Canis lupus familiaris: one gene and its partner. The protein of the gene in region 2 purifies or fractionates together with the protein of the main gene of each other region. This does not show direct contact. Links are inferred from orthologs where the notes say so. Each region holds a gene or a part of one and is shown on either strand. Other genes may lie near its edges.

Region 1 (3,909 bases), on a different chromosome or scaffold from region 2:
AGGTTAAAATATCCAAATAAAATTTACTGCAACTTTTGTAGAATTTAATTTGTGCTACAAGACATGTTGCATAGGAAACTATTTAAAGCCCCTGAGGAAAAATATCCATGGTTTAAGGTGCAACTGGTTTTGTTTCTTCTTTGGGGAGAAGGTGAGAGATGATCTCTGGAAAGAATGAAGGTGGAAACGAGAAGCAGAATTTAAGGTTATTTCGTGTGATGATTGGGGAATTGCGTGTCCTGGTTCTTGCAGCATAAAAAAAAAAAAAAGTAGTGTTTTTCTCTGTTGATTTTTTTTTTTTCCCTAGCTGGTTGGTCTTCAGGATCTGAATCAATAGATATATAAGAATGTTCCAGCCCAACAGGGATCATACATTGATTACAGTAAGTAATTAACATAACATGTTTCAAGACAGCAGATTTCGAGCATGAGGTCCGCGAATCCCAATGGCCCACAAATCACTTCGCACAAGCCCACTGCATGTCCCGGCACATTCCCGGGAATCAACTCTTGATTTGCCAAATAATTATTCTTCAATCCTGCCCCTTCCTCCCCTCGGAGCTGCCGCAACCACAGTGCGATCGTGGAAGCCAACACTGCGTGCCCACACACAGCCAAGCCGATCTACAACCATAGAGGTCATCAATGCAATGCTCTGGCAAATCCCTGGCTTTAGGTTGGGGAACGTTATTTTAGAAAACGTCCATCCTGCTCAGAAAACCTTTATATTGTACATTAAAAAAGATGGAGTCCCCTCTGCTATTATTTCCTAGGACACGTGGGTATGACCAGAAAGGGAGAGAGGTGGATTTCATATAGAATGAAGTGGAGAGTTGGCCAGTGGCGGCAGGCACTGCTGCACACACATTAGCGCAGGGCACCCCTCGTGGTGAAGTCTCCCTAGTGGCCACAGGGAGGAGAGCCCTGAGCTCTCTTCTCCTGTGCCCCCACGAAGAAACAGGACCGGCGGTGGCTGAAGCCTGCAGGGACTACCACACTGCAAATGGCACAGTTTTCTTGAACAACCTGCATGCTGGTGGGGGCCACCAAGAATGCCAGCTCCCAGCTGTCTTTTCATCTCAAGGGCACCTGCTTGCTCGTGTAGGATTTTACTTTGCCAAATAAAGCTCAGAGAAGGCTTGCATGTGCTCTCGCTGACCGGTTACTGTAACATGAGGCGGAGGTACAGAAAAGAATGCAGGTGAAAAGGGACAGCAGGACCTGGGACATTCTCAGAAAGGATGGACAAGAGCTGGACTCATCTACTGAAAAACCATGTTCCTATTTGATTTACCCTTTATACAAGTAGAGAGCAAAAGAGGTCCAACACTTGAACAAGCGTCTCTCCGTGCTAAGTGTTGAAATGCAAAGGGTGGCTGGGAATCACAAATGCCCCCAGTGACCTTTAAATACATATATACATCTGTAACATAATTTAAAAAGGTCTTTATATAACATAAAAACCTCAACAGCATCCGCCCCTATTAAGGTGGGTTTCTTTTTTTTTTTTTTTTAACCTTTATGGTCCATTAAAAAAATTAGATACCACCCTTCTCATATGCCTCCCCTCATACTTTAAAAAAAGTGACTTTTAAATTTAAATTTATACCTAACAAATAGAAAGCTATCTGATTGGCAACAACCTGCAGTAGAAATTCCCTTCAGGCCCCCCCGTGATGGAGGAGGACCGTGGAGCATTGTGTGTGCTTGGTCCTTGGGTGTGGGTCCAGCCTCGAGGAAGCCCAGATGTGTCAGAGCAGCCGGCCCTTCCTCCCTCCCCAGCTCCAGGTGACCATGCGCCAGGTGACCACACGGGCCTCCAGGACAGGCGGAGGGCGGGTGCCCCGGAGCAGCAGCGGGTGGGCATGTACCCGCTCAAATCACAAAGTCGTCGTGGTCCACTGGGCTGAAGGCAGCTGCTCTCAGAATGTCCAGCGAGTTCACAAGGATCAGAGTCCCAGTGAGGTGTTTCCAGCGCTTGGTGATGGGGTTCTTCATCTTGTCCAGGCCTATGTGTAGCTCCTGGATGACGTCCCGGTAGCTGTCCCCGATCTGGTGGCTCCAGGTTAACAAAAAGTCATAGGCGGGTTTCCACATGGCCTGGATGGTGGAGTCATCCCAAAGAAAAGGAGGGAGGGGGAAGAAAAGATGAGGGAACAGTAAGAGATGTGATCCTATTATTCGATCCTATTAACTCCAATCCCTTTGCTCATTATTTATGTTTCTCATTGGAGAGTGGAACAAACCCAGAGAAACAGGTGGAACCGACTCTGTCCAGAGCCAGCACGTTTCTGAGGGAAGAACGTGTTTTGTGCGAGCGCAGGAAGGCAGGAGAGAGTGTCTGAGCAAACACGAAGGGCTTCTCTCCTTACAATCCCTGCTGCGGGCTGCCTGGGTGGCTCAGTGGTTGAGCGTCTGCCTTCAGCTCAGGTCATGATCCCGGGGTCCTGGGATCAAATCCTACATCAGGATCCCCACAGGGAATCCGCTCCTCCCTCTGCCTATGTCTCTGCCTCTCATTAATAAATAAATATATCATGAAATATATATTTAAATATATATAAATATATAATAAATAATATCATGAAAAAAAAAGGAAAATACCTAATAATCCCTGCTGCATTTTCTAGGCGGGCCATTTCTTTAGAAATTCACTGTGCTAATAAAGGACGCCCTTATTCTGGGACATCCTCCTTCCTAGGAATCTCAGGCCAAACCCAGCTTTCCAGAAGCTTCCGGCCACCCTCGCCAACAAGAGAGAAGACAAAGAATCTCTGAGGAGGAACCCAACCGGCTCCAGCCAACGTTACCCAACAGAGCCCTGGAATGTCACCAACACAGACCTGGCCAGTGACCGAGCAGGAGTGGCCACCAAGGGCTCCCTTGGCACTCTGCTCTGTCTGACGGATGGTCACTTAAGAACGGGACAATCAGGGGTGGGCGGTTCTGCGGACACCTCATGCCCAGCGGCCTTGTCAGCGGCAGGGCCGGACTCCCAGCCAGTGGCCTTGAGGAGGAGGAGCCGCGCCCCACCCGGGGGAGCCCACCACGTGCTGGATGCACACTTTCTCAACCTCACCCCCGTCGACACGCTGGAAAGCAGACACAGTCGTGACTGAATTCCACAGCCCAGGCTCACCTCACTGTCCACGACCCCGTTCCTGTCCCGGTGCGGAGACTCGTAGGCGTCCATCTGCTGCTTGGACACCTTGGCGAGCTTCTCGGCCAGCTCCCGCCAGCGCTGCGCCACCTCCACCGCCGTGGTCAGGAGCACAAAGTCCTGGATGAGTCTGACCACCAGGCCCTGGCAGTCCATCTTCAGTAAGGCCTGGGGAGGAAGGAGCAGAGCACGAGGCAGGTCAGAGGGCAGGCTCTGCTTTCAGAGGCCACACACGCTTTACCTCCAAAGTTCAGAGGCCTAGAAATGTGCCCCTTGGGCCCCAGCATGGCCGAGGCCCACAGGATGGAGGGAGAGCAATGATTTTTGCAGGGTGGACTGGGTTCGACTGCGCTCTCTCCCCAAATTCACGTCCACCTGCAAAGTCAGAACGACTGTATTTGGAAATAGGGTGTTTGCAGGTGTCCTTAGTTAAAGCCACCTGTCCTGGTGGGTTAGGGCAGCACCTCATCCCGTGCCTGGTGGTCTTTATAAGGAGGGAGACAGAGACAGAGGGAAGAAGTCCACACAAGGACAGGGGCAGAGGTGGAGGTGAGGAGGCCCCAAGACAAGTAGCGTCAGGGACTGTCGGAGGAACCAGGAGCCAGAGGCAAGGCCTGGCCCAGACCGTGCCTTCCAGAGGAGGAAGCAGGCCCGCGAACACGCCTCTGCTGTGCTGGGCCACCCAGTCCGGGGCGCGTCGCCTCGGCAGCCTGGGGATGCTGACTGATGGGGCGAGGGTGGACGCTACC
Region 2 (3,909 bases):
CCCATCCTTGCCACTTACCAGCTGCGTGGTCGTGGGCAAGTGTCACTTCATGTGATGGAGCCTCAGTTTTCTCAGTCGAAAAATGGGTGGAATTCCTGTCTCTCTCCAGGTGCTTATGGGAATCCAAAGAGATTGTGCAGACAACCCGATTAGCATTTTGCCTGACATTCAATTTAAGAAAACTGTTACTAGTATTGTCATTATTATTATGGCCTCCTCCCCTGCCCACCCCACCCCCCCCCCCCCCACCGCCCAGGAACATCCCAGTCTGTGCTTCTGCTGTCTGCTGTCCGCGGAGGCCTAGTCTAGGTGGCCTCCTCCAGGCAGCCTCCCTGGCTTGCCCCAGCCTGCTGGAACTGCCCCTGTGGTCCAGACAGCTCAAGGCCCATGAACTTAATTACACATTATCCCGGCAGAACTCTTGTCTTTCAGTCCCAGGCTGCTATTTCACTTCGTGTCTCTATTTTAAAATGTAAACCAGATCACGTCACTCCCCGGCTTCCAATCTTACAGCGGTCTCCTACCTTTACAGAGGAAAAGCCCCAAACTCCTTAATATGAGCCACAGGCCCCTGCAGAACTGCCACTCTGGCGGCAGCTCGTGCCCCCACACACTATCCCAAGCTCCATCCAGCCTCAGAGTTTTTGCCCAGGCTGGGCCCCCTGCCTGACCTTTGCTGGGCCACCTTCTTTCTGTCATTTAGATCTTGTCTCCAAAGTCGCCTCCTCCAAAAGCCACCCCCTTTACCACAGATTCCACCCGGCCACCCCCCTCATATTTTATTCATAGCACACGCACTTACTACCATCCGCGGGTACTGTCTTTATCTACTTGTTAACTTGCTTGCTGCCCTTTTCCCCACTAGGACGGCGGCTCCCACAGAGCAGGGATTTTTGTCTTGTTTGCTATTATGCCCTCTGTGCCAAGGACAGTGCTTGGCCCATGGGAGGTGCTCAGTAAATGTTTGCAGAATGGACGGGTGTGCGTGCCTCGTGTCCTCATTCAGACTCCTCTCTGAGCCCTCCTATCCTCAGAACATGCCTGCTGTGGGGTTGCTAACTGACACTTCCTCCCCACATTCCCAGTGTCCCCTCAAACCTGAACATAGGGATGGTGGAAAAAGTGTCAGCCGGGGGTCCAAGCGCATTGGCTGGAATCCTAGCATCCCCACCCTCGCTTCCCTGGGAGGGGCCTGAAACTTAGCAACCCCACCACCAAGCAGAATCACAGTGAGGGCAGCAGGAAGTGGGGAGGGGAGTTCCTGGGAGTTGACAAAAGCTTGGGTGGGGGGAGAGACACCACACCCAACCTCCCCTTTCTAGTAGGATACTGCTTTGGAGGGGAGGGCGGGAGGCGGGAGGCAGGGAGGCGGGAGGCCTCTGATTCAGTCTTGAAAAACCGGCTCCCGGGTGTTTCCGGGGAGAACGCCTACTGCCTGGGCCTCAGCGCAGGCTTTCCAGAGGGGCCCAGTGGGCAAAGGACCCCAGCATCCAGGCCTCCTATGTCCCCTGCAGATGTCACTCTCTTCTTAGGACCTAGGTATTCAGGCAAGCCTTCCCAGGTCCGGGGAGGCAAGACAGGGTTGGTGTCCGGGGACCTCTTGGGGGGAAGCAAAGACCAGCAGGTGTGGCCCAGATACATGCATGGTTGGGGGATGCAGGCAGCAGCGGGCAGAGGAGCTGGTCGGGAACACCTGAGCCACGGAGCCACTGGGCCACTGATCCATGGAGCCATCTAGTCTAGCGGCTGAGACTCCAGTTCTGGACTCCGAAGCACGGGTTCGAGTTCCAGCCCTGCCACTTACTAGCTGTGTCACCTTGGGCAAGTCACTCCACTTCTCCGGGTCTGTTGCTTCACCTCTAAAAGAAGTAACAGCACCTTCCATGAGGTGTTTGGACGCAACGATGTGCATGGTAAATACCTGACACGGAAGCGTCCAGTCAGTGCTAGCCGGGGGTGATTTTTTCATGATTATTACCGGGACCTCAGTCCTCTCCAGGTCCCTCTCTCGGCCCTGGAGGGCCGCGTCGAGGCCAAGGTGGGACGAGGGAGGTGCCCGGGCAGGACTCAGAAATGCCGAGCCCGCCGGGACGGGGCTGTCCAGGGCAGTGCAGGGGGCAGGGTGGGCTGCCGACCCCATCTCAGAGGCGGGAGGTGTTTGACCCCGGCCCCCGGCGGGAAGATGGGCGCCTCCGGGGGAAGGGGCCTCAGGCATCCTGGGGCCCAACCTAGACCTCCAGCAGCGACCCCGGGGCCGTCCCCCCGCTACTCGCTCGATCCGCCGGATCCCCATGGGTCCGCGACCCCGCGGGCCCGCGCTGGGGTCCCCGGAGCGGCCGTGCCCCGCCCGCAGGGACACTCACCTGCGCCGCCGCCGCCGCCACCCGCGCGCTCCGGGCTCGGCCCTCCGCAAACTCCGGCCCGGGCCTCTCCCGCAGCCGCGGCCGGGGGGCGGGGCCAGCGCCCGCAGCGCGCCAATCAGGAGCGGCCGCCCGACGCCCGTGGCCAATCCGCGCCGCGCCGCCCAGCGCCGGGTGGGCCCGACGGAAGCATTCCAGAGGGATCCCTCCGCCTCGCCCGGCTCCTCCCGGCCCCCCCGCGCCGCGGCGCAGTGGACCTGCCCACCCTGCCGAAAGCCGCGGCAGGCTGTACCACCGCAGGGCGCGGAGGGGGGACCTGAGGCTGGGCCCCTGCCAATCGCGGGGAAGGAAGGAGGCGAGCAACCAATGGGGAGCTGGGGTCCCTGGCCCACGTGCTGCCGGCGGAGTGTCCGTCTGGGGTGTCCAGGGTGGTAAGGAGCGGGAGGGCCGGTCGTGGGAGTCAGGTGACGCGGGCCGAGTTTCGGGCAGAGGCTAACTCGCCACGTCCGGAAGAGCTGACCCTTTAGGAGACCTAGGAAGGGGCCGAGGGCAGCCCCCGATCCCAGTCCTCCTCCCTGTCTGCGCCTGCCCCAGCCTGGCCATCCTGTGAGCGGATAAAAAGGATGCATTCATTCCGGGCGGGCGAGCGGGCGGAGGAGCGAGATGAATAGGGAGGGTCCCGAGTGTCCCTGCTTCCTGGGGTGTACAATGGACAAGGGCATTTATTCATTCATTCATTCATTCCCTCACTCGTCAAATATTTCATGTGCCCCTGCTCCGTGCCAGGCTCTGTCCTACGTCTGCAGCTACTAAAGCGAATAAGCTGAATGTGCTTCTGGTGGAGGTAACAGCTCGTGCAGAAGGCCTGAAAGCTGGACTGAGAGATACAACACATTTTGGGAGAGTGCAATATCCTAGGAGCTAGCAAAACTGTGTGAAAGGGTGCATGGAAGGAAGACAAGATCGAGATGGACTGCTCGCTTGTTGGTTAAATCAGTGAATATTTACTGAACACATAATATGTGCTAGGTTGTAAAGGGTCCCCAACCATTCCGAGCCTCTGCCCTTTCATGAGGCTGTCTCCTCCATCTAAGTGCCCCCTCACCCCTGCTGGGGTCCTGAGACTGGCAGTGAGCAGCCTCTCAGAGCACTTGTGTGAATGAGAGGACCAGGTGACCTCGCCATCACCAGGTTTGGTGAGGCCCCGAGACTGGGATGTCTCAGGCAAGGGTAGGTCCAAGAAACAAAGACACAGATGCACCTTGTACAGACCAGGATGCTCAGTTCCCAGGACAGATGAGCTATCCTTGCTCTACTTCAAAGCCAGCCTCTGGGGCAGTTGGGGCTGGACCAGGAGCTTGCTGTGTGTTCTGGGAATTGTAGTTCTTGGAGGCCTCTAACAGCTGCAATTCTGCTCAGGCTTCATTGAATGACTGGGTCTCTGCAGTCCCCAGGGTGAGCTGTTGTGCATCCCAGCCCCACCGGGGCCTACAGAGAGGCAAACTGAAAGAGGAGAGCGGGGCCGGCTTAGCTGCTGAGGGCTGCGAGT

What was found.
Region 1: the proteins of GIPC1 (region 2) and SH3BP4 purify together in Homo sapiens (affinity purification with mass spectrometry; 4 studies listed by BioGRID and IntAct, with this or other methods). This does not show direct contact. The link is inferred for Canis lupus familiaris from reciprocal best matches to the Homo sapiens genes GIPC1 and SH3BP4.

Annotation. Positions count from the first base shown.
Region 1 is NC_049246.1:46,410,138-46,414,046, reverse strand, and holds part of SH3BP4 (SH3 domain-binding protein 4), read right to left. Parts: intron 3,329-3,909; coding exon 3,140-3,328; intron 2,101-3,139; coding exon 1,876-2,100; 3' UTR 1-1,875. UniProt on the Homo sapiens protein: May function in transferrin receptor internalization at the plasma membrane through a cargo-specific control of clathrin-mediated endocytosis.
Region 2 is NC_049241.1:48,542,680-48,546,588, reverse strand, and holds the start of GIPC1 (PDZ domain-containing protein GIPC1), read right to left. Parts: upstream 2,458-3,909; 5' UTR 2,364-2,457; intron 1,860-2,363; 5' UTR 1,805-1,859; intron 162-1,804; exon of another isoform or gene 113-161; 5' UTR 19-112; intron 1-18. UniProt on the Homo sapiens protein: May be involved in G protein-linked signaling.